7 linked regions of the Rattus norvegicus genome follow. The protein of the gene in region 6 interacts with the protein of the main gene of each other region in a biochemical or structural test. Links are inferred from orthologs where the notes say so. Each region holds a gene or a part of one and is shown on either strand. Other genes may lie near its edges. The genes, in order: Dcun1d5, Dcun1d4, Cdc34, Dcun1d3, Ube2d1, Cul2 and Cops5.

Region 1 (4,067 bases), on a different chromosome or scaffold from region 6:
TAACTTCTCTTAACAGATGGTTACAAGGAAAATGATATACTTATCATAACTCATGGAGCACTATAGCAATTATCACGTTGACTGTTCAAAATGTCAAGAGTTAAAAATAAATATTTAATTCCATCTTAAAATACTCAAGGAAGTCCTAATAGGAGCTAATAGAATCAAGCATTCAAGGAAAAAAAAAAATATATATATATATACATGCATAATGACCATCTTTATGGTGTCTAGTAACCTTTATAAAGTGAAATAAGATGAAACTTTCTGATTCTATATAATGCATTTTTAATAATGGGTCAACGTTTTAAATAGAGGTCAGCCAAAAAAAAAAATTTCTCTATATTTAATTTGGGTTAGTGGTTGTCTTGGGATACCAGTAATAGCATTTATTTCCCCTGATCTAGAAAGAATCTATTCTGCTACCAAACCATTTTTAAATTGTACAATTGGGATCACTGGTGTTCCCAATAGCAAAGTTGCTACCCCCTTTTCAAACTAGTCTAGCCTTGCATACAGTTAGCTTAACTTGACAAGTTAGGATGCCATCACTTAAAAGAGTAACATGGTTAGTATAATAACAAGGCAACGACTACTATGTGTTTTAGCTTTAAGCAAATACTTCTGAGAATAATAATGATAAAAGAAAAACAAAAACATAAAAGTAGGAAAGCAGGTAAGAGATTAGCTTTAGTATTAAGACTAGACCTGTTCTAAGGAAGAAAAGTTGTCAGATATGTTCATGGCACTAAATTCTGAGCCAATCCCTAACCCTTTAGCCTTGACCCTAATCCCAGTAAACATAACAGGTCAGGAACAAGGAATAAACCACAGCTTCTAAATGCAAATGATATGGTATCCTGTTAAATGAATTTCATTACCTGCATACTCATAAAACCAAGCCAGGCACTTCTTTCTTGAAAAATCTTCCTCTCCACTGATGAGTCTAGCAGGAGGCTGGGATCTGCAATAGCTTAGAAACACGTAAATGTCTAAGGCTTAATAAGACTCAACTTTAGTACAAAAGTAGCTTCAACAAGAATAGCTTCCATGTAAACAAAATAGTGGTTTATAAGTCAGCATTATGGGGAAAGGATTAGCAATAAGGACCTGCACTCAATGAAATCCAAATGCTACTTTGTTTGCTACCAGATTCCAAAAATAGTGCCTAAAATGATTTCCTTAGATTTCAAGATAATAAAGAAGTGCAGTCTAAGTCTCAACCCAAGACTAGACAAGAAAGTATAAACCTCTCTCCCTAAACTACTCATGTTGGGCTTGCTCTCTACCACTAAGCTATAGACCTTATCGAATGCCTGAAGACTTACTTCCATTTTGCCACTGATTTGTATGAAGATCTCTGTTAAAATTTAGGCTGAATCACTGGATACTGCCCAGCTAGCTGTTTTAACTGGTTTAAGTTAAACATCTTAGATATAGTTTTCCAAGAGCTAAGGTCAAGAGAAATGTTAACCACCAAAGGGCATAATGAAAACTGAATCTTATACATCACCCAAGAAATATCACCTAGACTCTTTTGCTAAAACACACTAAGGGCGGGAGAGGGGGGCACAAAGCAATTGATTACAAAAAGATTAGGATGAAACCAGTCACTTCTTTCATATTTTAAGCAGTGCATTCCTCACTGCATCTCTCCTTAAAGAGAAATCTTCTTTGTGTAGTGCTGGCTGTCTTGTTTTAATGGTAGTATTTTGTCACTTTATGTGTCAACCATTAATACAAAACAACCCATAGAGTATGGGAAGAAGCACACTTCTCAAAGTTAAATCGCAATAACTTTCAGAGCAATAATGATTCTGTGATGATTGAATGTATGCCATAAAGGGAGTGAATGGCTTTAACTTCAGTTTTGCTTTGTTTTCTTTTCCTCTAAGAGAACACAGAACACAATAGCTTGCAAACACCTAAAAGGGGACTGAGAGCTACTATCTACTTAATGCTACAAAACAAAAACCACAAGGGCCTTTTCCAACTCTGTGTAGGGAACTGGTACAGGTGGAGGCATGGTGCCTCTAGAAGCTGAGCCTCCAGCTATTTAAAAGGTCTCCTGCTGGGATCATCCACGTTAGGCCACTTCTAATACTAACTCAGGAGACCAATTATAGCATAGGCTTCCTTTCCACCATTCCCAAGGCAGCTGTCAAACTCTTCAAGCTCTGCTCCTTTCTTCACACCCTGATATTTAACAATGTGTGGGCCAAGCCAATTCTGCTTGTGAGACACAGGGACGCGATGAATCTTGGCAGATCCGCACTCACTTCTCGGTTGGGAAATTGGATGGAGAAGGCATACGTATGGTCGTCTGTTTCCTACCCTCTGGGCACGCAGACAACAAAGTGGGGTGAATCTCAGAGCTTGTCCAAGTACGCCAGAGCTCACGCACAGGCGAACACGAGGTTCGGTCCCGCGCGGAGCGGAGACTCTGGGCGCCTCACCGACCGCCTCGCCCGAGAGGGCTCGCCTCTCTCGTCTAGGCTAGCGGCTGGCGGCCTGTCCCGCAACGGGGAAAGGAGAGAGCTTGCGGGGTGGGGGCAGGCGGTACCTGGAGATTTTACACTTTTTGAGGCCCGCGTCTTCCGCGACCGCCGCTGCCACTCCGGGAGCTTTTCTCTTCTTCTTCACTGGCATCTTCCGCCTTCCCCGGCAAGGTGGACAGGGCGGCCGGGGAGGGGTATCGCGCTCCGCCGCAGGCCCCGCAGCGCCGGCTCCCGCCTGCCAGGGACCGCAGCGGAGGACCGAGGCGCGACCTCGCCTCGGGTTTCCTCTTTAGGGGCGATTCGGGGCAGCGCAGCGCTAAGCCCGGCGATAACGCGGCTCGGGCTTTTCCAGGGGAAGCGAACGCCGACAGCGCGGCACCTTCAGTAGTCGCGAAGAGCAGGCGGCTCAGCCTGACCCGGAAGCGGATGGCTCAGGACCGGAAGTGACGCAGCAAGGAAGCTTGCCGAGCCGGAGTGGTCTCCCTACCTATGGGCCTTTAGGATTTGCGTCTCTGCAGGTGGAGCCTCAGTCTCCCGAGTTTTTCGGGCGAGTTTCCAGAGGGAAGTCCTTTATAAAAATCATGAACGCTCCACAGCTGGCGAGCGAAGTAATCTGGTGAGGAGCCACGCGTGAATGTGCCCACTCCTGACCTACAGCGTCTCCAGCCCTTTGGGTGTTCTTGGTGGGCCTGAGATCAGTGTCTCACGCTCCTTGTCCTTTTCTCCCTCATGCTCAGTGTCAGTTTATGGCTTCCTCCTGTGCTGAGGCAACGCCTCCATGTTTTACTTCTGAGGAACTCTCCTCGTGGATAAGAGACTGGAAAACTGACTAACTTATACAAAGGGTTTGGGAAACCATTCTAATGGACCGCTCTCAAGAAACAGGAATCATGTTACTTCTAATGGAAATATTGTTTATAAGAAGGGTATGGTTCGGTCCCCAGCTCCGAAAAAAAGAAAAGAAAAAAAAAAAGAAAAAAAAAAAAAAAAAAAAAGAAGGGTATGGTATGTCTAGTTATCTCCTAGAAGATTCTTAGTGAATGAAGTTCATGTCTGTAAGCCAACTGTGCTACCATAGTAGGACCCTAATCTAGTCAGAGTTAAGGAGAAAGAGAAAAAACGGTTGTTGTAATGAGTTCTGGACATATAGTTAATATATTTTACCAATGAAAATAATTTTCAAACCTATACTCCATTCAACCCTATTATAAACACTGCACAAAGCATTGTTTTTATATGAAAATTACAAGATCTAAGCTCTAAAACAGAACTCCCTATAGAAGAAAGTAGACAACTGAAAGATGAAGATTTTTTTTTAAATATGTATTTATTATTGGGGCAATTGTGTACCAGTGCTGGGATGACAACTTGACAGTTCATTTTTCTCTATCTTGTGACTCTTGAGGTGGAATTCAGGTTGTTAGGCTTGGGAAGGGACATTATGTCTGTATACAGAAGCACCTAGTTATGTGATTTACTTTTTTCTGTTGCTCGTGATAGTTCTTGATTTTCACCAAGCTATATAATGAGAACCTATGACAGTGCTGCAGTTTTTTTTTTAATGTAGTT
Region 2 (4,110 bases), on a different chromosome or scaffold from region 6:
AGGACTGTCAGCTACTTCGCTATTGTAACATCCGTCCAAACATCCGTCCAGATTTCGGAACTCTGCAACTCAAGAGCCAAGGCGGTAGAATTCAGAATACTAACGCTGGACCGGACCCCTTTGTTATTTTTGGACGTATCATCCAATGTCTGTGGCAGAATCTATAGGCAGTCCAGGCTGTGCTTGGGGCAAGGGCTGTTGGAGGTTCCCAAGTGGAGAGTGTGTTCGCGGTGGGGGCGGGGCGCCCGTCCTCCAGCATCTCTTTGCGTTATTGCATTACCATAGTGATTGAGGAGAATTGGTTTTCAAGTACTGAAAAACGTAAAGAAACAACAACAAAAGCAGTATTTTGATTCAAGACACTTAACAATCACAACCCTATTAACGCTTTCCTCTGTTAAACAGCGGTTTGGCCAGGTTCAACTTATGTTTCTTAGACGTATAGTCAGGGGACCTAGCTTGTCCTGGTGACAGGCTGACTGACCCCAGAGCCTAATGTGGCACTGGGTTTTTCTCTCGCTGTCTGGGGAGCATAGAAGTGTCGGACGGACAATGCCTGCGCATTCGAAACCTTTGGCGCAAGCAATGCACAACTCTGAATAATTGACTCTAAAAAAAGGAGGCGCATTTCCAAAGTTGGGGACAGAAAGGTTGTGGCATAAAAGGGAGGAAAGCGGAGGCTTTTTTTTTTTTTTTCCTAATTTCCCGCGATGGGAAACGATTGATGAGAACTGGCGCGACCGGGGCACGGGCAGGATCAGGATCTGGCCGACCGCCTACCAGGGAGCACCGGTCCCTGTGGCCCCCAGCTTGGCTCCGGGTCCCTCCGCCCGCTTTGTTTCGGATGCTTAACCTAGGTTCTCCGTTGGTCTCTCTGTTGGTCTCCCGCTCCAGGACCCGCCCGCCACAGGGCGGGGCTTCAGGGTCAAGATAGACCAAGTCCCCTGTCTCGCCCCTCCACGCGCTTTCGGACCCTTGAATGACTGACAGCCGTTGGGTCCAACCTGCGGCTCCGAATAGTGGCCTCTACCAGGGGCGGTCCGAGGTGAGGAGCCGGGGCCAATCACGTTGCAGTCTAGGGGGCGGGGTCCTTTTGCCTGCTGCAGGCGGCGCAACCTGCACTCCTTCGGTCAAATGAGAGCCGAAGAGGGGCGGTCCCTCGGTGGTGGTCTAGCCAATGAGAAAGGCGGGATGGGCGGGTCGGAGTAGGAGCCGCCGGTCCTCTGTTGAGAGCTAAGGTTTGGGGAGTCGGTAGGGGGACCGCGAGTGGAGCGCGGGAGCCCGGGCGGCAGGCGGGTGTGAGCTGCCCGAAAATGCACTCGGATGCTGCAGCTGTCAGTGAGTAGCACAGAGCCAGCGGGCCGGCGCGGGCCCGCACACCCGGTCCGCTCCCGTGCTCCCTTCTCCACTTCTCCGGTTCCTACCGCGCTGGAGTCCCTGGCCCGGGAACGAGCTGTTCCCCTCCTGGAGTCCGAGGGCCGTGACGCTGCGGGCGGCTGGGGCGGGGGCAGGGGCGGCGGGGAGGGGGTGGGGACTGGCTGGCTTTCCGCGGTGGGGGGAGGGGGGACATATTCTGAAGGCCGGGGGCCGGGAGTCGGTGGTGCACGGAGGTGGAGACCGCGGCGGGCGCTGGCAGATGGGGTCAGGGGTGGTACGAGCGGGCAGGGAGAGACCCTACGGTCTGAGTACCGGGTGAGGCTTGCGGTGCCGGAGCTGTGCAGTCTACCGGGGAAGGCGGGGGAGTGCGAGAGGAGCGGGGGCGGGGACAATAGGAAGGAGGGCTGGGGGCGGGGGCGGGAACAATGGGTGGGGAGCAGGGGCAGCGACCGGGCGGGTGAGGGGTTGGGGGCTGATGTAACCCGGACACGGAGTGGGAGACACTGCAGTGGGATGGGAGAGTTGTGGAGTCTGGTGTGCGGGACGGCGGCCGGGAGTGGCGAGAGGGCTTGGGGGCAGGTGTTGGGATGGGGGTCCCTGGAGGAGTGGATGGTGGGTAGGACTGCGATGCAGTTTGTGGGCTGAGATAGGGGTCGGGGAGGGTGTGCAGAGTGAGTTAGGAAGAAGAGTAGGTGGGGAGGAGCGGGATGGGGAGGGCTGTCATCCTCGGGTTCGGTGCTCTTGGGGCGGGGTGGGGAGCGTTGAACTGTGCATTGGGGGAGGTGCTTCCTCCCGGGAGAGGCCCGGTCCAGCCTAGGAGGGGACCACCCTGAGCATCGGGGTGCACAGAGGAGAGGGGGCGGGGCCGGGTACTCGGGAGGTGTCCCGAGGCTGGCAGTGGCTGCCACTTTTAGCGAGCAACCGGGAGTGAGGTCAACGCGGGCTGGGATTACAGGACCCGGAGGCCGCTGTCTGCTTGCTGACCGGACCTGCAGGGGTCCTAGAGGCGGGGTGGAGGAATTAGCGTAAGAGGTGTCAGGGTCCCCGGCGGTCCGTAGGTTTGGCAGTGTGTGACGCAGTTCCCTAATTTCTGACTATCAGGTGTAGAGACTGATGCGTCAGGACCTGTTAACCTGTATGGAGGGCCGCTTTGGAGGCATAGCAACGCGCGTGCGAGAAGCTACCTCCGCCCGAAGCACCGGGAGGGTCCTTTAGGGGTTTCCTTTAGGGTCTGGCTCCTGGAACCGGTGTAAAGGGAAAGGCAGGCTCATGGAATTCTGGGACTTGTAGTCTCAGCTGCCCGGGCCGCGGTTGGATTGGGTGCACGTGGGTAACTGTGGAAACGAGTCCCAGAATGCAGCGCGTCCCTTGGAACCTCCTTGCTTGACTAACTCGTGCTTTATGCCGCGGAGACCCAATGCGTTCTCTCCGGGAGATTCCTGGATTCCTTGGGCACCGCAGAGGGCGAGCCCAGGCCAAGCCCTGGCCTTTCTCCGAGTTAATTTTCCCCTGCATCTGGTAGCCTTGCGGAACGAATGCTTAGTTTTGAAACATCTTGCATACATTCGTTTTAAAGCAATGTTTATCATGGAATATTTAGAGTGTATTCAGTGTATGGAAGTCTAGGGTGAAGTATATACATCCTTACATAAGTATGGAAACTAAGTAGAGACAAATACATCCCTTGTGAAGAAAATACAGACAACTGCACTGATATTTCTTGGGCAACTTGGTTTGCCCAAGAATTAGGGTTTTGTTTTTTGTTTTTGGAAGCAAATCAAGAATGGCAGCTTAGTGGAATTTGAGGTTGAAGTAGTCTCATGCCAGAACCTGAAATGAAACCCTAAAGGTGAGCAAAGGGGAACTGTGATGTCTTAACTTTTATGTAAGTAAAGCAAACGGGGCTGCTGTTTGCCCTTTGGATGCCAAGCTGTCCTTCTCTCTTGACCATTACATGTCTTCCTGAGTTTGTGGACTTCCAGCCACCAGCCACATCCTTTGCCAGTTCTCCTTAGTGATCACTCCCAAAGTGGGGGCTTTAAGATTTTTTTTTTTTTTTTTTTTTGGTGTGTGGTGTATCGAATTCTATGAACCATCAGTAATTGGAATGGTCATTGGAGGGGTGTTTTAATAACCCAATTGTAAACATCTTTTTTTTTTTTTTGTTTTGTTTTTTGTTTTTTTTTTTTTTTCCCGGAGCTGGGGATCGAACCCAGGGCCTTGCGCTTCCTAGGTAAGCGCTTCTACCACTGAGCTAAATCCCCAGCCCCCAATTGTAAACATCTTGATGAGTTTTTTTTTTTAATTTTTTTATTATTATTATTTTTTATTAACTTGAGTATTTCTTATATACATTTCTTGATGAGTTTTAAGATCTGGAAACGACCTGACACAATTAAGACAGTATTGAACTTGTATATGTAGCAGACAATTCTTTAAAACTTATTTTTACTATTTTTAAGTGTATATATGTGTGGGTATGTGCACGTGCATATAGATGCCATAGAGATCAGATGAAGGCTTGGGATCCCATAGAACTGGAGTTATAGGTGGTCGTGAGCTGCTCAACTGAGTGCGGGGAATGAAACTCAGATCCTCTTAGGTGTTGGGCAGTCTCTCTAGACCTTACAGGATGGCTTTTGAAATAAGAAACTCGTTAGAATATGGTGTTTTAGAGAAATAATTTATATCTATCCTGTTTTGACTTACATCTGCAGTAAAATCTCTAAGAAC
Region 3 (4,232 bases), on a different chromosome or scaffold from region 6:
CTTCCATTTTCTGTACATCACCGAGGCGTCCACGTTGGCAGGCGAGAAGGTGTTGGGCTCATTCAGCAGGGAGATCACACTCAGGAGGATGGTCCTGTAGGGCCGTAGGTGCAAGCTCAGCTCCCCAGACTCTGGGAACCCCTGACTGGAGCAGGGAAGGGTGGATCTTAGGGTACAGGGTGTTTGCGGGTGCCCACGGTGCAGTTCCATGGCAATTCTCACCTGACATTCTGCGTGGGGTTCCACCGCTCTGAGGGTAGCTCCCCACTCTGTGGGTCATCAACTGGGGGATGGAGGATGGAGATGCATACGTCCCCTGTCTGCAAGAGTGACCAGGGTTAGAGGAGGGGTGGGGCATGTGCAAGGGAGGCAGAGAAGTGTGTGGTGGAGTGTGCCTGAAGCAGGCCTCTAGTGTCTTACCTCATAGATGTTTGGGTGCCACATCTTGGTGAGGAACCGGAAGGCTGGTGGGGAATATGGGTAGTCGATGGGGAACTTGAGGCGAGCCTACAGATGGCAGAAAATGGGGTGGCTCAATGGCAGGCCCCCGAGCACTGCTGGAGTCAGGGGCTGTGCCCACCTGCCGCTGGTGTACAGGCCCTGAAGCCAACTCCAGTCTTTGTACACCAGTATACACACAGCACACCTCTGTGACTTGACATCCAGGTTAGGAAAGGCAAGGCGGTTAGGAAAGGTGTGGGCTAGCTAGAGGAGTGAGTCAGCAGGTCTGCCTGGCCTCAGGCCTCCCACCAACACCACCCAAGCTCAGGGGCCCAGGCCAAGAGTAGTCACCAGACAAGCTGGAACCATCTGCCTGGTCACAGCAACTGCTTGTGGCTGAAGCTCACCCTGCCCACTGCCCCGACCTTGGACAGATAGAGAAGGCCTGAGATTTGCCCTAGTCTTGGAGCTCCCCAAGGACAGCTTCCAGTGTTCTGCCTGGCGCACACAAACCTAGTGTGGAGTTGCCACCCCGATCCTCTCAGGAGAGCAGATGGGGAAGGTGGCATTGCTGGAACAACACCCCACACTTCTGGGGCTCCAGATGCTTCTAAGAATGAGCAGACTGAGGCTCAGAACAGGAAGGGTTCTCTCAAGTGAGACAGGCTGGGCTGTCCAGAGAAGCTCCTCACAGCTCCCCTCCTACAGAGACTCCCCACGTCTCAGTCACTCACACCATATAGGAAGCTCCTACATTGGCGGATTTGAGTGACATCATGCAGGGCCTCCTCCTAAGCTACCTCAAGAACAATGTGAGCCTAGGAGGCTCTACCCACAATCCTTTACGGGCAAGGAAGAGTTCAGGTGACCCTGCTCTGAGCACCCCCCCCCCCCCCCCCGCAAACACAGGAGACAAGGTGCTAACAGCATCTGCATGTCCTGAAGGCGGCTCAGTTCAGACCACCTCCAGGTGGGAAGCGAGGGTGTCCACATGTGTCTCCCTCCCGTTCTCCACATGCTGTACCTGGAAACCCTAACTCAAACATTCCCCTGCATAAGGAGACTTGTGACTTTCCTAAGCACTGACCAAGAAGGGTGAGGACATCAGCCACAAAGGAAGACGCAGAACAAATAAGTGCCACGGCCCTACATCTGGGGCCCCAGACTGGCTGGGGTTTGCGTGCACCTTTGGCCCTAACATAAGATCCTGTGATTCTGCTAGTTCTAGTCCATGGCAGGCAGGATGATTCAACTGTGCTGACATGGGTACCTATACCTGGCCAAACATACTCAGTGTTGGGGGCTGCCTAAGCCTCCCTGCTCCCAACCACAAAAACATCTGGTGCATTGAGCCTGAAGCCACCAGAGGGCAGACGACACCCCTTAGAAGGAAAAATCAGGCCCCTAAGACTCCACCTGTTCAGTGGAACCTGAGAAAGGCTGTCAGGGTGGGGCAAACAGAGAGCTCTAGGGTCCAGGGCCCTTGGCAGGAACCCAAGGTGTGGCTCCAAGATTCAGGGTGGGCCCCCACCACCCCCTTGAATGCATTACGTGAAGCCTGGCCAGTGCTAAAGGTGGCTGTTGTCCAACAGGCACGGCTGCCAAGGCCCTGCCAGGGCCTCTACTGGAACTGGAGCAGGTGGCTGTCCAGGCTACACGTCTCTTCCCTGGGGACACATCGGCCAGTGGCTGCTCTGGTTGTGTTCCAGGGTAGGGGACAGGCCTGGGGATGTCAGCCAGCAGCTGCCCGTGGTCCTTTATGTCTTGAGATATGGACAAACTAAGGTGAACCTTTTCAGGTTTCACCACATGCTGGTGGGGTGAGGGACAACCTGGGAACATGCTTGCCAGCAGAGGGCTCCAGATGCTTCTGCGTCTTGTGGTGGGGAGAACTACACCGGAACAAGAAGGCCAGCAACTGTCCCTGGGGAGACCCTTCACCAGAAGCATGTTGGAAGAGTGGGGACAACACGGGGAGATACATCCCCAGGTACATGCTTAGTCCAGTGCACGACAGCCTGGGAACACACTGACCAGCAGCAGGCTCTAGAGGCCCCTACGTCTTGTAGTGGGGGTCTGCCTGGGGGTGCGGCATACATTAGCTGTCTCTGGTCATGTAGCCTGCTGGAGAACAGTATAGGGAGACCAGTCCCCGGGGTGAGGTCAGCACGTGCCCAACAAAAAAGGGAGGGGCCGCTTTGCACGAGGGGCCTGAGCCAGCCTGGGAGAGAGGCAGGCACAAAGAGGAAACTGAGGCTCGGCTCACCTTGAAGTAGCCGCCCTCATAGTAGGTGTTGGGGGGTCCGAAGATGGCCACCTCCCAGTTGTACAGGTCGCCCTCGTCCACCAGCGTCACCCGGAAGCCCTCCACCGGCTCCTCCTGCAGCCCCTTCAGCTCCAGCAGCAGCGCCTTCTGCGAGCTGGGCACCAGCGGCCGGGCCATGGCGGTGACGGCGGCGGCGGCGGAGGGGCCCGGGGCCGGGGCCGGGCCGGGCCGCGGGACCGGCGCGAGCTCGCGGGACGGACCGGGTCGCGCGCCGGCAGGGGGAGAGCCGCCGCCTTCCTCCTCTGCGCCGCCGCCGCCGCCACCACCCGGGGACCCCGAAGGCTCCACTCGCTCTGGCGCCGCTGCCCGCCCGGCGCTCGCTTCGGCCCGGCCCGGCCCGCGCCTAACGCGCCTGCGCGCCGCAGCCGCCGGGCCTCGAATGCGCCTGCGCACCGGCTCCCGGCCCCGAATGCGCCTGCGTGCCTCCTTCGGACCCCGAATGCGCCTGCGTGCCACACCCGGGCCCCGAATGCGGCTGCGCGCCGCTGCTGCCGGGCCGGAAATGCACCTGCGCGCCACTGCCGGGTCTAGAATGCGCCTGTGCGACGCCTCCACCGGGTCCGGAATGTGTCTGCGCGCCCGCCCGCGGGGCACGCCGGGAAGTGTAGTCTTCTTCCCCCGCCCTGCCGCGCAGGCGCCTTGCGTTTCCGAAGCCCCGGAGGCCGCCGTCGCCTCCGGCCGGAAGAGCTCCGCGGATGCCTGTGTGCGGAGTGGCGGGCAGGGCTGGGCTGCGCGCTGCGGAGTGGCAGCTGCGGCTTTGGGGGCCTTTTCTGTGACGTCAAGGGGGCGTGGTTGTGGGTGGGGAGTTGGGCGTGGCTTGTGCGGGAGCGGAGCAGGATCCGCCCTAGTTTCCCATCATGAAGCTATGGATGTCCCTATATTGTCTCTATGGGCTCAGGTAGAAGGAGGGCCCACAGAATCGACGATTTGGGGTTTGCAGACCTGGCTTCCAGCGGGTGGAGTGCTAACCTCTACCCTGGGAGGACTCTCATGTCAGGCTGTCCTTTGACCACACCCTAGTCCTGCTTAAGCAGTGGTGAGGCATCCTGGAAAGTTACAGGAGCGGGAACAGACACGCAAAGTCCCCGAGGTTGACCGGCATAGACACCCACACTCCTTTCTTGGACATTTGGTCATGAGTATTGAGGTGGCAGCATATTCAAGCCTTGCAGACAGGTGTGTGGTGTACCCGTGACCTCTAGGGGTGGGTGGTTCTGGCCCTAGGCTGTGTTGTTCACACAGCTGGACTGTGGGTGTCCTGAAGGACTACAGCTGCATCAATAACTGGGGCTGGGAAAAGGCAGCTCCCCCGCCCCGTAACCCCCCACAGGTGTGCCAACATCCTGTCCTGGCTGGGGATATCAGGCAGACCTGTTTGGGGATAGGGAAACAGTGTCAAAGGTGGGGCTGGTTGATGTGACCAGGAAGAGCCAAGGATCCAATGCCACTTGCCTGTCCTCCCCCT
Region 4 (3,624 bases), on a different chromosome or scaffold from region 6:
AGTACCTGGAGTACAGGCTCCTGTAGGTGAGTAGAATAGGGTGGAGCTATGACAGTACACTTGTGTGAATCCAGAGACACAGGCACGTTGCACTTTGCTGTTTGGCTAGGCCCCTGCTTGTAGTTTTGACATTTCTTACTTCACCATTAGACCATTATGAGATTACAGGTGGCTTGGGTATGGTCTCTTATCTCTATTCTACCAGAATCCAATTTGACAAATCATCCTTACAGAGTGCAGGGTACTTTCAGGAGCACAAGTAACCCTAAAATAGCTACAGCACCTTATTGCTGGGGACTTGATGGAAGCTTCATCATGAAATCCTGCTTTCAGTTAATTTTCCTTATGTACTATAGCATCTGCAAGAGGGCAGGGAGGGAGGAAGAATGGTTGTGGTGAGGTGTGGCTCCTTTAACTCTCCTTGATTCCTACTAAGGAGTGTCACCAGCTCCATCCATTACCATTATCATAGATTTAGCTACCTCTGTATTGTTCTGCTCAATTAGTTGCCATGGCTACCAGGCCAAGGTAATTTATCCTCCAAGGTGTTGCTTGTGTTGTGCTGAGAGGAAAAGACTGTAGCAATCTTTGTTGAAATCTGAGTTTGTAGGTATTAGGTATAGAACCAGATGATGAACTTGTGGCTTAACTCAGGTCCAGATAACTCTTATGTGAAGGCAAAACTTGACAAGACAGATTTCCTCTGGAATATTCTGTTAGAACTGTAGTCTTTGATGTGTTCTGCAAATGAATCAGCCTTTTAAAACTTATGCTGCCTTAAGGATTTTAGGAATTTCCCATGCTGGTTCTCTGTTACCCCCCCCCCCCCCCATATCCAAGGGTAAGCATCCCACAGAGCTTACAGGAAAGGTAACAAACAGTGAGCTGGGGTGGGGTTCTCTCCCTTGGCTCATTGTTAGCTCAGTGAAATAGAGTGGTCACTGGTGGGCAGTTCTGGGATTTAGTGTCTGTACACCACTCCTCTGCCCAGAAAGGTAACTACTTTGTAATTTCCTTCCAGGTTGGCTGGCTCCTCTAACTGATGGCATGTTGAAGTACATGGACCAGTGGCAGCGAAGGGATCTGATCCAGAGTGGGCCACTCTAGAAGGCCAGGCTACAATCACCATGGGCCAGTGTGTCACCAAATGCAAGAATCCTTCATCAACCTTGGGCAGCAAGAATGGAGACCGGGACCCCAGCAGCAAGTCACACAGCAGGCGGGGGGCTAGCCACCGTGAGGAACAGGTGCCACCTTGTGGCAAACCAGCTGGGGATATTCTTGTCAATGGGACCAAGAAAGCAGAGGCTGCCACCGAGGCCTGCCAGCTGCCAACTTCTTCTGGAGATGCAGGGAGGGAGTCCAAGACCAATGCTGAGGAGTCTTCCTTGCAGAGGTTGGAAGAACTGTTCAGGCGCTATAAGGATGAGCGGGAGGATGCAATTTTGGAGGAAGGCATGGAGCGCTTTTGCAATGACCTATGTGTTGATCCTACGGAGTTTCGAGTGCTGCTCTTGGCCTGGAAGTTCCAGGCTGCTACCATGTGCAAATTCACCAGGTTGGTTACAGATGCTTTCATGTCAGGAAGGGACCAGAGGAGGAAAACATGACATTGGGTAGTGGTGCCCACTAGGACAGAATTGGAATGGCTTCACAGGTTTGGGGCAAGTGGTCCCCATCCCCTTCCTGGCCATTTTCTCTAAGCTTAAGTATCGAGTTGTAGTTCTAGTCCAGAGAACTTCCTAGATTCTCCTAAGGAATTAATTTTTCTATCCTGTGTCCAAAACTCGTAGCAGAACTACTGAGTATATCTCTCCAGGTAGGTAAGACTCAGGGATTTGTATCTCTGCAAAGCTTCCTTGTCTAATATGTGCTGTTCTGTGTTTTCCTCACAGAATAAAGTGTTGCCTGATTGATAGATCACATTTGAATTCACAAAAGCACCAAGAGGCAATCCAAGTTACTGGGCACCGACCCTCTACCTAAAATTAAATAAGGACTAAGCAGTGTGAACACTTCTGTTAACTGCTGCTCAGCCCTCCTGACAACTAGCTGCTCAGAACTTGTCTTTTATTCCTTCACATGTCAGTTTAGTCATTTATCTGTAGTCTGCCAGGCACTTAGGTGTCCATAGACTGTCACTGGGAATATACCTCTACTGCTTTTGGAGTTCTCAGCTTGTTCCTTTAAGCCAGGCCTGTGTGCAGCAAGGACAGCTGGCCCCAAATATCAAGTAGCAGTTGTACAATTTGTCACAGTTATATATCCATATTGGGGTTGTTTGTATACAAGGATATGGCAGGGTCATGGCAGACCATGGTTTAAAGAGTGCAGGGTTATGAAGAAGAACTATAGTGGCCTGAAACTGGATATGTAGAGCAAGCAGGCCTCAAACTCCAGGTTCTGCCTGCTTCTTGAGGGCTCGGATTAAAGGTGTGAGCCACCATACCTGACCTGTCAGAAGGAACTTTAAAACACAGCTAATTTATATGACCTTTTCAATAAATTGAATGCCTCACCACTACAGTCCCTGAGATAATCAGTGTGAAACCCTGTTAGTGCTGTATACAGTTAAAAAGTACATATGCAGCTGGGTGTGGTGGTACCTGTCTGTAATCCCAGCCCCCAGGAAGCTGAGGCACAAGGAAGAGAATTCAAGGCTAGTATGGGTTACATAGTGAGATCCTATCTCATAAAACAAAAACAAAAGTAGTTAAAAGAAATTTTAACTACATAGTTTCGGCCCTATGTATGTGTACATGCATGTGCACATGTGCCATGCTTTAAATGTGAAGGGACCAGGGATAACTTGAGGGAGTTGGTTTTCTTTACCATGTAGGTTCTTGGGATCAAAATCAGGTTATCATTCTTGGTGGCAAGTACATTTACCTGCTGAGCCTTCTTGCCATGCCCCCAAAGGCACATTTGTTGTTTTCCATTTTATTTTATATGTATGAGGGTCTTGCCTCATTGCATATCTCTGAGGTGCATGCCTGGTATCTTCAGAGGCCAGAAAGGTGTGTTATATCCCCTGGAACTGGATTTGAAGTTGCCATGTACGTTGTGGGAACTAAACTCGGCTCGATCTATCCACCCACCCATCTACTTTGGAGGCCAGGTCTGACTGCGACTGCACAGCCTTAGCTGGCCTTAGTAGACCAGGCTGGCCTAGAAGAGGTACTGTTTTTGCCTTCCGAGAGCTGGGGCTGGGCTGGGTGTTAGCTGCGCGTATATCCTTGCCTCCTCATACACTGCACCACTCTTACTTATTAATCATGCCTTCTCCTACCTGTTGCAGGAAGGAGTTTTTTGACGGCTGTAAAGCAATAAGTGCAGACAGCATTGATGGGATCTGTGCACGTTTCCCTAGCCTCTTAACAGAAGCCAAACAAGAAGATAAATTCAAGGATCTCTACCGGTTTACATTTCAGTTTGGCCTGGACTCTGAAGAAGGGCAGCGGTCACTGCATCGTGAAATAGCCATTGCCCTGTGGAAATTAGTATTTACACAGAACAATCCTCCAGTATTGGACCAGTGGCTAAATTTCCTAACAGAGAACCCTTCGGGAATCAAGGGCATCTCCCGGGACACTTGGAACATGTTTCTTAACTTCACTCAGGTGA
Region 5 (4,343 bases), on a different chromosome or scaffold from region 6:
CCTGGCTAAAAAGATGAATTGCATGTTAACGCCACTCTTCTTTTGAGGGGAGATAAAACAATAACGACAACAACAATGGGTGGGAAGACACGGCCTATAAAGTGCTGATCAGCAAGCATGAGGACCCTAGTTCCATCCCCAGTGCCCATGAACAAATGTACGGATGATGAGGCTTGTGTGTAAAATCAACGCCGAGCAGGTAAAGACAGCAGATTCCTCGCCAGGCCAGCCCAATGGGTGAGGCTCAGGTCCCTGTGCGTGACCCTGTCTCAAAAAACAAGGTGTACAGCTCCTGGGAAATAATTTCACAAACACACACACACACACACACACACACACACACACACACACACACACACAGGGGGTGGGGGTAGTGGCTTGGTTCTGAGTAAGAAAAACAGCGCCCGGAAGAACGCTGCTAAGTAGAGGCAAGACTGCAAAGGGCCCCTGCCACAGCTGATGGGGACCTGGGAACAGGAAAGTGGACCGATGTGCAGACAGAGCAGGACTGCTTGAGTGGACCTCTGCAAAGCACAGTCCCTCAGACCTTTCTGGGCTGCAACTCATCTCTAGTTTGTGCAGAGGGCGTGGCGTCGTTCTTCTGTGGACCACTGCAAAGCAGGAGAAGAGAACTTCCCAGATGTGGCTGATTTAGCTGCAGGGACACTGTAGAAGCCGGGGCAGTGAGTGTTTTGAGAAGCAAAACGGGACTCAAAACCATTTCGGATAAGGAATGGATTGACTTTAGTCATCAGAAACCTAAGACTGACCAAAGCCGTCGGAAATCTGAGACTGAGCAAAGCGAAAACTCATCCTGCAGGTGCCAAGCCAAGAAGACATGGTTGAAAGGACAAGCAAAATCTGAGATCACAGGAATTGAGAAGGGACTGAAGGACGCCTCAGTGGGCAAAATGCTTGCTGCACAAGCCTGAGGACCCGAGTTCGGATGCCGGAGACCTCGTAAGGGTCGGTTGTGTGGGAAGCTGTCTGCAATTCCATTTTTGGGAGATGAAGACAAAAAGACATAAAGGGAAAACCCTGCCTCAAAAAAATAAGGTGGGGTGCAATTGACGAAGACTCCTCACGCTCCCGGGGGCGAGCGGAGAAGAAACAGAAATATCTAAAAAGGAAGTTAAGATCTGCTGCAGGGTCTGTGCGAGGAGGAGCGACCCGTGATTCACAGCAGCTCCTAAGAGCCGACAGCTCACCTGCTGTCCCGGTTTTTGCAGATTCTGGCCCTTATTCTGCAGAGCGGCTGCAGGGAGTAAGCAGCAGCCTGGTCGCAGCTGTCACCCACGGGTGACCAGACGACGTCCGCGCGGGCGGCAGAGGCCGAGCCTGGAACTACACTTCCCAGTGTGCCAGGCGGGCGGGGCGCGGCGGGGAGGGCGCAGGCTCCTTCCCAGCAAGCGAAGGCGGAAACAAAAGAGCCCGGCGCCGCCGCCCGCACACTCGCGCACCGCGCCCGGGCGCACACGGAGCAGCCCCGCGAGGCGGCAGCCCGGGACACGCGGACCTGCCGCAGCCCCCGCCGCCTGCCCCATGGCGCTGAAGCGGATCCAGAAAGTGAGTGGCTGCTAGGACCGGCCTGGGTGTCCCCGAGAGGTCCCCAGGAGCTCGGGGTGCACGGCGTGGGAGGGGCGCGGGCACTAGGGAGGCCGGGGTGCGGATCGGCCCGCACAGGTGAGGCGTGCATGCGCAGGGTCCGGGTGCTTGGAACCCGGGGCAACCCGATCCGGTCGTGTCCTTTCCAGGCTGAGCCTAGAACCCCGGGTGCGGGTGCCGGTGCGGTGGCCAGATTGCCCCGGGGTGTGTGCATCCCCGCTGGGCAGGGGCTTGCTCTGCAGCGGGCGGCCTGCGTGCCCTATCACGCCGTGCGTCCTTACCAGGTCCCCGGAGCCCTCCTTCCTGTGTTCGCACCCCGGGCTCCCCGGGAGGACAGGGAAGGTGTGGTGGGCCTACGGCCTTTATTCTCAGAGAGTGGGGCTGGGTCTTTCTGGGCTTTGCAGTCGGATGGTGCTCAGTGGGAGGAAAGGGTTGGGGAAGCGGGATTGGGGCGGAGGAGCCAGCAGAAAGCTCTTGCCCCTGCTATTTTGGTGGTTCTGCACGCAGCTGCCACTTCAGGTCACATAGCTGCACCGAGTACATAGTTGCTGATACACAGCAAGATGACCTCCTGGCTGTGATTCAAGGCGAGGCAAGCCAAGCTGGTTGTTGGTTTTGTTTGTTGCTTTTTTTTTTTTTTTTTTTAAAACATCCTCATGATAAACTTAGATGTAGAGTTGAAGACACAACACTAAGGACCACAAATTAAACTGTTTGGATGCTTTGATGCATGACTAGAGAATGAGGAAGACAATCGAAGGGTCAACACCTAGCATCTGTCCCAACCCTCTCTTTGTATTCTTTACCGCACCCATTTCTCTTGTTGGCCTGTCCCCTGACTCAAGTGTCTTTTAACATTTTACAGCCGGCAGCCCTTGCTGCTGGGAACCGGGTGTTTGGGAACGCTTTGGAAGCAAATGGAAGCAGTGGATAATGTGTTTGGTAATTGATTTCACAAGAAATGGATGGCTCCCCAAACGTTTTTATCAACCTTTCCAGCTACACTTGACTGCAAATGTTCTGAGTTAGAGTTAGAGTGGTAGTCGGCAGGCATCTTTCGGTACAGAGGACAGCAACTTTTACACGCAGCCAGATTTTGGGGTTCTTTTTTTGGTTCGAACATCAGCTGTGTAGATCGTCGCTGTTCTTTGTACCGCTGAAGGTCAACTTGGTATAAAATGTAAGATCAGCGTTTATTAAATAATGACGTTTTCTCGTTGGAAGATAACGTGGCTGCACTTTATTTTTAACCGTATAAACAAGCCTAAATTTGAAGCCGCAGCCGTCATTGCCTTGCTGACTTCTGATCGCCGATGTTCTGTTGGTTTCCCCTTTGGAAGTTTTCAAACTTTGCTTCTTTTCGTGATGGTGAGGCATTCTATGTGGCTTTGTTCTCTCTCTCTCTCTCTCTCTCTCTCTCTCTCTCTCTCTCTCTCATGCGCACACACAATAGCTCTTAGATGTCATAGGTATTATCTATAGAATATATCCATTCAGAGAAAGAATGTATTACTGGATGTGTAGTCTTGGTATGTCTTATTGGTCATGCTAAGCTTGACTTATGTATTTGACTTAGTATGGAAAACGTCCACACCTTCTTTCTTTTTCCTTTTTTCCTTTCTTTTTTTTCTTTTTCTTTTTCTTTTTTCTTTTTTCTTTTTTCTTTCTTTTTTTTTTTTAAGATTTTGGGTGTTAAACAGAATTGTCTAGTATGACGATAACCTTAAATACAACTGATGGCAAATCTGTGACAAACTGGTATTGTGGAGAAGACATGGGAGGTCACATGATTCTATGTTCCCCGCATTGACTGCCACGAATCATCAGTCATACATGCCAGCCACCGCGTTCGCCCCCAACGGATTCTACCGTCCTCTGCCATTCTCGCCTGTCATCTTGCTTAGAACTAAGTCCAGGTCAAATAGGCCACCCATGAGCTGCATCAATGCCCTCTGGTATCCTGTGTTCCCATTCTCATTTGAATCTTGTTCAGTCCAACAAATGGAGTTCAATGCGAACCTTTGGCCTTAAAAAAATTTTTGTTTTTAGTGTGTGTATGTGTGAGTACATGCCACATGTGTGGGGGTGGCCACAGAGGCTAGAAGAGGTAAGAGACAGCATCAGGTATTCTGATGCCAGAGCCATAGGTGGTTGTGAGCTGTCTGACGTGGGTGCTGGGAATTGAACTTGGGTCATCTGAAGGAGTAGTTCTTCACTGCTGAGCCATCTCCCAAGCCTCTAACCGCCCTCCTCCTCCTCTTCCTCCTCCTCTTCTTTTTCTTTTTCTTCTTCTTCTTCTTCTTCTTCTTCTTCTTCTTCTTCTTCTTCTTCTTCTTCTTCTTCTTCTTCTTCTTCTTTTTCTTCTTCAATATCTTTTAAAGCAATGACGTGATAACTTCACCATTTCTTTACCTAAAAGTATCAGCCCTTGACGTTCATGGAATCCCAGCTTGGCGGTGGGGTAGCAAAGAATACAGGGAGAGAGACAGTCCCCAGGGCAGGGAGCAAAGTCACTGTAGAGCCCAGGGCTGCCAGTGGAAAGATGCTGGACCTGGAAGCTGAGGTGGGGTTAACATGGAAAGGTCAAAAGCCCTGATGTTCTCCTGTGTTCTCTTCGTCCAAAGACAGAAGCAGGGGCTGGAGTTGAGACGAGTTTTGCTCAGGCTTAATCTCTTGAGACAGGATTTGGCACGTTTGAGAATAATGTTCGCAGCTTCTCATTTCTCCACCTATGAAAA
Region 6 (3,624 bases):
TACACTGCTCGGCACAAAGGAAAAGCAGCAACAATAAAACATGTATTAGGGCTATGCCAATACCACAACCATCCTCTAACACCTCCAGTGGTTATAGATTTGTGAGGACAACGATCGGTCACGCTGGAGTTTATACTAAGCTATAATGCAATACAGCTAAGCAGTAAAAAGGACTTAAGTTGCACAGGACAGTATTTTAAGAGTGAGCCTCTGGGCCAAGATGCTTTCAGATGGAGCTGTAGCAAGGTGCAGTGGTTAGCACTCAGTGCACAACATCTTGGTATAAAGTAGACTCACTCAATGCACTGCGCCTAGATATTTCTAGGAGAGATGACATTCAAGCCAGTACTTACTTGTGGTGTATCCTTCTGCATTGATGTAGTAATCTTAAATTTTGTTCTCTTACTGCTGAAGCTCATATTTAGTGAAAATGAAGATTCTGCATCGATATCTTCCTATATTTAAAACAAATTTTTTTTTCTGATTTCACATTTACCATAATGTTACTCAGTTTCTATGTAGGAAGTAGCTATTTTAAGGCCCAGACATTATACACATTATCTTCTGCCTGACACTGCTGCAGTAACCACAATACTAACTACAACTTCCAGAGTTGACCCTGGAAGAAATAACTGTTGCTTCCAAGGCTCTGATGGATCCAGTTAACCCCCAATAGCATTTTGTTTATTGTTGGAAAAGTCAAGGCCTTTTCTCCTAGGAAAGTCGCTAAGCTAACTCACAGAGTCATCTGAATATCATACAACCTTAAAACTACCAATATCCCACACAAGATCCTCTATCTGCTAAGGGCTGAAGTCCTTGGGAAGGTTACCTTTTCTGAATCATGGTTAATCATTTTCACATCAAGTAATGATTTGATTGTTTTAGTTAGCTCCTTTTCATTCATCTGGGTGCTGTCTTGAAGCTCTTTGTAGCTGACAGTTTCACTGTTGTTAAAGGCAAGAAGAACTGCCATTTGGTAGGTTGTAACCATAGCTACATATGGTTTCCCCAAATAGTTCATTTTAACTTCACCTACAATTAAAACAAAAATTGACAGTACAGTGATCATCCATTTGACATTCTGATTGTTTTCCTTAAAAAAAGAAAAAACAAAAAACAGGCATCTGAAGGTTAATGCAAAGGTAATCCAAAGCTCTTGACTAGAGAGCAATGGGCTGTCAATGCTGAAGTCGTGAGTATGTATTATAGCAACAGTTGATCTACTGCAGCTTTTGTCAGAACTTAAGCAGTGACTTTAGATGACTACCAACAGGAAAACGGAAGCAGAACTTATTTAGATGACTACCAACAGGAAAACGGAAGCAGAGCTTAAGCAGTGACTTTAGATGACTACCAACAGGAAAACGGAAGCAGAACTGGTTGGAAGGAGAGGCAGCAGAAACAGAACTGAGTGGAAGAAACAGAAGAGACAGCTGGGAACTACCTCTCTAACTTTGTGTCTTATAAGATAGTTTAAGTTCAACCCTGGTAACCACATTGTGGAAGAAGAGAACCAAGTCCTAGTTTTCATGCCAGAAACACCACACACACACACACACACACACACACACTCACAAACACACACACACACACACTCGCGCACACACTTGAAATTAAAGATGAAAACATAAAGATCAACATATTTCACATTAGGAAGAAAATCAGAAGACTCAATTTATTCAATAAGCTTGCACAATAATAAGCCATAATCTAAGATGCAAGCTAGTAACACAAAAGCAAATGGTGCTGGTTCTGAGATCAACCTTTTAAAGGCAAAAGCAGGGCTCCTAATAAAGGTCAAAGAACCAGGACAGACTTCCTTACATCATTTCTTTTTTGTTGTTTATAATTTTATGCGTGGGGGTGTTTTGCTTGCATATATATCTGCAGGACAAGGGTGCCTGGTTCCTGTGGTGGCCTGAAGGGTTTCAGATCCCGTGGAAGTGGAGTTACAGCTGGCTGTGAGCTGGCCCGTGGGTGCTGATCCACAGCCCTTCCTGAAGCCTAAGAAGAATAGCCCTTTGCTTTGGCTGACCATCTCCAGGGAACCGAGAAGAAAGACATTCTTAGAGTATTTGAAATAGAAGTCGGTGACAGGGCTAAGGAAACTCTGGAGAACAGATACTCAAAAATATCTTACCCATCAGTCTGCTTTTCTAGACAAACGCTCTACTATCTATAAAATGACTGGCTGCAAAAATGTACTGTCATTATAAAACTCAAAGAATGTCTTACAATGAACATCAGCAGCATTAGATAGTTCCTTAATGATACCAGAGAAGGAGGCAGAGGAAAGCAGATTAAAAACTAGAATTAGAACACAGGAATTAACACTCTAAAGGAACAGAATCACATAAATAAAGATCATTAAATGAGTAGTAAGTAATTGTTTTTACCTGTACAGAGATAATGTAACCATGTCAGTTTCCTTCCACTGAAATGCTGGCTATAAAACAATTCAAACTGTTGAGAGAGAGAGAGATGTCAAGCTAGATGTCAAGTCAAGGCCCTGGAACTTCTTTATCACGATACTATAAAGGCAAAGGTATCATAACCCACCCAATGATAAACCTTGTCCAGAACGCCCGCTGCAAACCGTGACGAGCCCATGGCTATGTGGGTATGCTGCCATCACTGTGGTGCCTCTGCTGAGGCTGCAGCAACTTGCTGCGTGGTTCTTGCACACAGAGTGCGCTACCCAAGCGTTGTGGTGTGCACCCAGTCCCAGAGACGTGCAAAGCTGACACAAGCTCACTTAACCCGGGAGTCTGAGGCTATGCTGAGAAACAGCACTAAAAGGGGCAGGCAGAGTAACTCAGGCAACCGAATGCCCACGCAGGGCAGACTCGGCCCTGAAACATTTCTCTTCTACAATTTAAGCTGCTATGACGTGTCAGTGTGTTATTTATCCCAGTTTTTGTATGTATGTAAGAGGTAAAGTTAACATGGGCGTGTCTACCTCAAGTATTTTCCATATCACTTTCAGACAGGCTTCGCTGAATCTAGAGCTTGCTCTCTGGGCTGCACTCGCCAGCCAGGAATCCCCCAGTGTCCTTGTTCTCTGTGCACAGCATGGGAGCTGGAATCTAAACTCAGGTCCTCACAGTCCTCTTGTTTGAGCTGCAGTCACCTCACCCTACCTCAGCCCGAGCCTCAGTCCTATCCCGACTCTTACAGCTTGTCGAGATTTCCCAAACCAACACGTGCTAATTTTATAAAATCAGAAATAATATCAATATTAATATATATTAATAATATATAGCAATATTAATCTGTGTTAATATATCAACTATACTTTAATATATTGTTTAAAGACTAAATATACCATCTCGTACGTTTCAACAAATAAAAGACAGGCTGGCCCATGTATGTGTGTGGTTAATACAGAGTGGGGTCTATGATACAGCAGTCATAGGAACGAAGCTGTTCAAGCTGTCTCTGTCTACTGCCTTTTGCTGACGTTTAAGTCTGAAGAGTCAGTGGCTAACGAAGCGCACTCCAGCAGCAAATGACTTTCCGGCTCCCAGAACCCACAGGAAATTGCTCACAACCCCAGATCCGGGGGATCCCACAATCTCATCTGACTTCTGAGATTCAGTCCCCAGCAACCATATGGTGGCT
Region 7 (3,624 bases), on a different chromosome or scaffold from region 6:
GTTTGATGCTCGGGAAAGTGGATGGAGAGACCATGATCATCATGGACAGCTTTGCTTTGCCTGTAGAGGGCACTGAAACCCGAGTAAATGCCCAGGCTGCTGCATACGAGTACATGGCTGCATACATAGAAAATGCCAAACAGGTAAAAATAGTGTTTCTTAAATTTAAAAAATCCTGAGTCTCAACTTCTGAGTTTCTGAACTTAAAACTGTTCTTTTCACAATAAATTCTACATTTTAAATTGAACTGGTTTTTATGTGAAATTTTAAAGTTCTTGTGAGATTTATAGTATTAGATTGGGAGAGGTGGGTCTTTCCAAGATACATTTTCATTTTCACTGTCAATTGTGTTTAAAATTAAAAAAAAAAAAATGGGGCTGGGAAGATGGTTGAATGGTTATGAGCACTGACTGCTCTTCCAGAGATCCTGAGTTCAATTCCCAGCAACCACATGGTGGCTCACAGCCATCTGTAATAGGATCTGATGCCCACTTCTTGTGTGTCTGAGGACAATGACACTATACTTATATACATTGAAAAATAAATCTTTTAAAATAAATGTAGGCTGGAGATGTAAGTTGGTGGTAGAGTTCATGCTCGGCATTCATAAGCCCTGAGTTCAATATCTCCTGTGCCCCTCAAAAAAACCAAGAACAACAAATTTAGGAATAAACTATTCCTGAGTAGGGTATATCTATTAATGGACTATAATGAACTATGTGGGCTTTAAAAAAAAAAAAAAGTATCTCTTTACTTAGGTGGACAAGCTCTAGAATTGTTTCTTCAATAAAAAAAAAAAAGTATGTGGTATGTAGCTATGTGCAGATATGTGTGTTGGTCTACAGAGTTTCTGAGCTGAGAAACTCATGATGAGGGGAAAGATAGAGAAGAAACTAGATGCCCTTGTTCTTGCACGTTGATAGTTTTACACTACGTGAATGTATTGTCTGGTCAGAAGTTCCTTAACGTCAAAGCAGCATATGTTGCACGCTGTCATTGAACCACAGTGCTATGTGAAACTTGTAAATGGCAGCATCTCTGAGACTAAACCATACCTCAAGCAAGCTTTTTCTCTGACGTGTTAGGTTGGCCGCCTTGAGAATGCAATTGGTTGGTATCACAGCCACCCTGGTTATGGCTGCTGGCTCTCCGGAATTGATGTTAGTACACAGATGCTTAACCAGCAGTTTCAGGAACCATTTGTAGCAGTGGTGGTAAGTACTACCTGGGGCTCATTGTTGTGGCTAGGCTGGCTGACCAGTTTACAGACCTTCCTCTTCCATACAATGCTAAAGTCTCAGACTTGCATATTTATGCATGGTTTTTACAGAGATGCTTTTATGAAGTTCTTCAAGAAGACTTGCTAAGTTTTACCATCCTGGAAAACAGTGTGGTAAAAATGAAACTCTGGTGTTATTCTACCTAGGGAGTCTTAACCTTGCTGTACCTCACGCTCTAGCCCATAGGCATTTAATCGGGGTTGACTGAATTGGAGAAGCAGAAGTTTAATCAGTCATTAAATTTAGTTGAAGTATTCCTAGTTCACTGAACTTCTCTAATGATCTCAGTTGTTTTCAGGTTGTTCGCTAGTGCAGTGTGCATGCCTACAGTGCTATGTTTGTTTTTTTCGGTTTCCGATGTTGACTCAGTGGAGCATTTGGCTTATATTGCCCATCCGTCTCTTGTAGATTGACCCAACCAGAACAATATCTGCAGGGAAGGTGAATCTTGGCGCCTTTAGGACATATCCAAAGGTGATTTGGATGGAGGGCTGTATAGGGGGAATCTCCTGTAGTTGAGATTAGCCTTGACTTTACTCACGTCTTAAGTATTGGGATTACGGATGTCATCTGGGGTGATGTGTTTGTGAGTACAGGCATGGGTCTGCAGGTCAGAAGAGACCCTGGGGAGTCAGTCCTCTCCTTCTACCTTGTTTGAGACTGGATCTTTACTTTTCACTGTGTACAGGCTAGCTGGCTCTTGTACATCCTATCTCTACTTCCCGTCTGACCACAGACAGCTGGAAGTGCAGATGTGCACTAACCAGGCCTGTGTTGTGTGGGTTCTGGAATCCAAGTTTAGCTTCTGACATTTATACACAAGCTTTTTTTCTCCAGTGCCAACAGTACCTAGACAAGTACTCTACCCCTGAGCTATATATGCAACCTTTGTGATATCTTTTTTAGTGTAGAAGGATTTTCAAATACAAAGTTGCAAACTGCTACAGCTCATATCAAGCAATAACACATTTGTTATTTAGTAATCTTGCCAGACATAGGGTTTATTACCAAGAAACATTGGTGCACCCGTGGCAATTTGACAAGTACTAGAAAGTACACAGCGCCAGCAGTCCTTTTGTGTCTGCCTCCCTAGGACTGAAAGTAGCGTGTAAGCACCAGGCCCAGCTGTTATCCCAGTATTGGTGCTTACTGTTTGGCGCTCCTCAGTTTGGTCCCATACGTAAGAAGCTGCAGAGAAAGCTTTGCTTTTTGTCATTTTCATTTTTTGTTTTCCTTGCTTTTATTTAGGGCTATAAGCCTCCTGATGAAGGACCTTCAGAGTACCAGACTATCCCACTCAATAAAATAGAAGATTTTGGCGTGCACTGCAAACAGTGAGTAGCAGTTGGACTGTTGTCAGGGCTACAGACGTGGCACAGCAGCAGGCTGAAGTGGAAGTGGTGGATCTGTCAGTGATGCAGCTCAACCTTCCACTTCAGCAGACTTGCTCGCCTGCCATTCCCAAGGCCCAGGGTTCAAAGCCCAGCACCAAAACTCAGAATTCATTCAGTCAAAGACTTACTTCACACCTGACTCAGACAAAATGTATTTCATAATATGTAATACCTTTGAAATAGTAGAAAAAGAATATGAATTTAGGATAATGATAAAAGTGTTTAAACTAATAATTATTCTCTTTCTACTTATGGTTTTCCTCAATAATTCTTTTAATCTAGATCATTTCATTGCACAAGATACTCAGTCCATAGTAAGATTAGCAGTTGAAACACATTCCCAGGCACAGCTTGACAATAGCAAGTTTGCTGCCCTTAAAGTACACAGTTTGGAATGGGAAGATGGCACAGTGACTGAAGGTCTTTGATGCCGAGGCCGACGGCCTAAGTGTACTGTTGTATAAGTGCCATGCACTAACCTAACTGATTGCTCTGCTGGAGCATCAGCAACTAAGTTCAGTCCCCACGTTCAGTCCCCACGGCCATACAACAGAAAGAGAATAATTCCTGCCAGTTGCTCTCTGGTTTCCACGTTCATGCACATGGGACCCACCCATACACACACAATAAATAAATGTCATTTTTTCAAATGCCCGTTTTAGCTGTCTTAGCTCTTTTAACAGGCTTTGTAAATGTATCTCACCACCTTCCCTCCTGCACATTCACCCAAGCTACTGCATCTGAAGCTCCAGCGTAGCGCTCCGTACACAGCCACTCTTCCTATATCTGCCCTCACCCTAAAGGTGGACCAGCCAGACTGGTCCCGTTAGCATGTGTGCAGAGCATGTCCTTCCCTCAAAGTAATGTTCCATCTTGCCAAGAGTGAGAGCCATAAGCCTTACCCAACTGCACAACTCTGTGACCTGGTCCCTGCTCGCCTCTCACCGGGA

Evidence for each region.
Region 1: of the proteins of Cul2 (region 6) and Dcun1d5, one has a biochemical effect on the other in vitro, tested with the Homo sapiens proteins (2 studies listed by BioGRID, with this or other methods). The link is inferred for Rattus norvegicus from reciprocal best matches to the Homo sapiens genes CUL2 and DCUN1D5.
Region 2: of the proteins of Cul2 (region 6) and Dcun1d4, one has a biochemical effect on the other in vitro, tested with the Homo sapiens proteins (2 studies listed by BioGRID, with this or other methods). The link is inferred for Rattus norvegicus from reciprocal best matches to the Homo sapiens genes CUL2 and DCUN1D4.
Region 3: the proteins of Cul2 (region 6) and Cdc34 form a complex in vitro, tested with the Homo sapiens proteins (2 studies listed by BioGRID). The link is inferred for Rattus norvegicus from reciprocal best matches to the Homo sapiens genes CUL2 and CDC34.
Region 4: of the proteins of Cul2 (region 6) and Dcun1d3, one has a biochemical effect on the other in vitro, tested with the Homo sapiens proteins (2 studies listed by BioGRID, with this or other methods). The link is inferred for Rattus norvegicus from reciprocal best matches to the Homo sapiens genes CUL2 and DCUN1D3.
Region 5: the proteins of Cul2 (region 6) and Ube2d1 form a complex in vitro, tested with the Homo sapiens proteins (2 studies listed by BioGRID). The link is inferred for Rattus norvegicus from reciprocal best matches to the Homo sapiens genes CUL2 and UBE2D1.
Region 7: of the proteins of Cul2 (region 6) and Cops5, one has a biochemical effect on the other in vitro, tested with the Homo sapiens proteins (3 studies listed by BioGRID). The link is inferred for Rattus norvegicus from reciprocal best matches to the Homo sapiens genes CUL2 and COPS5.

The regions. Positions count from the first base shown.
Region 1 is NC_086026.1:12,695,982-12,700,048, reverse strand, and holds the start of Dcun1d5 (DCN1-like protein 5), read right to left. Parts: upstream 2,890-4,067; 5' UTR 2,650-2,889; coding exon 2,564-2,649; intron 974-2,563; coding exon 882-973; intron 1-881. UniProt on the Homo sapiens protein: Contributes to the neddylation of all cullins by transferring NEDD8 from N-terminally acetylated NEDD8-conjugating E2s enzyme to different cullin C-terminal domain-RBX complexes which is necessary for the activation of cullin-RING E3 ubiquitin ligases (CRLs).
Region 2 is NC_086032.1:35,074,407-35,078,516, reverse strand, and holds the start of Dcun1d4 (DCN1-like protein 4), read left to right. Parts: upstream 1-1,227; 5' UTR 1,228-1,313; coding exon 1,314-1,338; intron 1,339-2,181; exon of another isoform or gene 2,182-3,226; intron 3,227-4,110. UniProt on the Homo sapiens protein: Contributes to the neddylation of all cullins by transferring NEDD8 from N-terminally acetylated NEDD8-conjugating E2s enzyme to different cullin C-terminal domain-RBX complexes which are necessary for the activation of cullin-RING E3 ubiquitin ligases (CRLs).
Region 3 is NC_086025.1:10,670,706-10,674,937, forward strand, and holds the start of Cdc34 (ubiquitin-conjugating enzyme E2 R1), read right to left. Parts: upstream 2,903-4,232; 5' UTR 2,885-2,902; coding exon 2,708-2,884; intron 508-2,707; coding exon 421-507; intron 321-420; coding exon 223-320; intron 95-222; coding exon 1-94. UniProt on the Homo sapiens protein: E2 ubiquitin-conjugating enzyme that accepts ubiquitin from an E1 ubiquitin-activating protein, and catalyzes its covalent attachment to other proteins by an E3 ubiquitin-protein ligase complex. In vitro catalyzes 'Lys-48'-linked polyubiquitination.
Region 4 is NC_086019.1:183,678,951-183,682,574, reverse strand, and holds part of Dcun1d3 (DCN1-like protein 3), read left to right. Parts: intron 1-1,021; 5' UTR 1,022-1,127; coding exon 1,128-1,558; intron 1,559-3,298; coding exon 3,299-3,624. UniProt on the Homo sapiens protein: Contributes to the neddylation of all cullins by transferring NEDD8 from N-terminally acetylated NEDD8-conjugating E2s enzyme to different cullin C-terminal domain-RBX complexes and may play a role in the cell cycle progression by regulating the SCF ubiquitin E3 ligase complex, after UV damage.
Region 5 is NC_086038.1:17,307,014-17,311,356, forward strand, and holds the start of Ube2d1 (ubiquitin-conjugating enzyme E2 D1), read left to right. Parts: upstream 1-1,445; 5' UTR 1,446-1,542; coding exon 1,543-1,566; intron 1,567-2,866; exon of another isoform or gene 2,867-2,970; coding exon of another isoform or gene 2,971-2,973; intron 2,974-4,343.
Region 6 is NC_086035.1:58,867,108-58,870,731, forward strand, and holds part of Cul2 (cullin-2), read right to left. Parts: intron 2,467-3,624; coding exon 2,400-2,466; intron 1,036-2,399; coding exon 833-1,035; intron 456-832; coding exon 354-455; intron 1-353.
Region 7 is NC_086023.1:13,978,248-13,981,871, forward strand, and holds part of Cops5 (COP9 signalosome complex subunit 5), read left to right. Parts: coding exon 1-143; intron 144-1,085; coding exon 1,086-1,214; intron 1,215-1,688; coding exon 1,689-1,754; intron 1,755-2,528; coding exon 2,529-2,614; intron 2,615-3,624. UniProt on the Homo sapiens protein: Probable protease subunit of the COP9 signalosome complex (CSN), a complex involved in various cellular and developmental processes.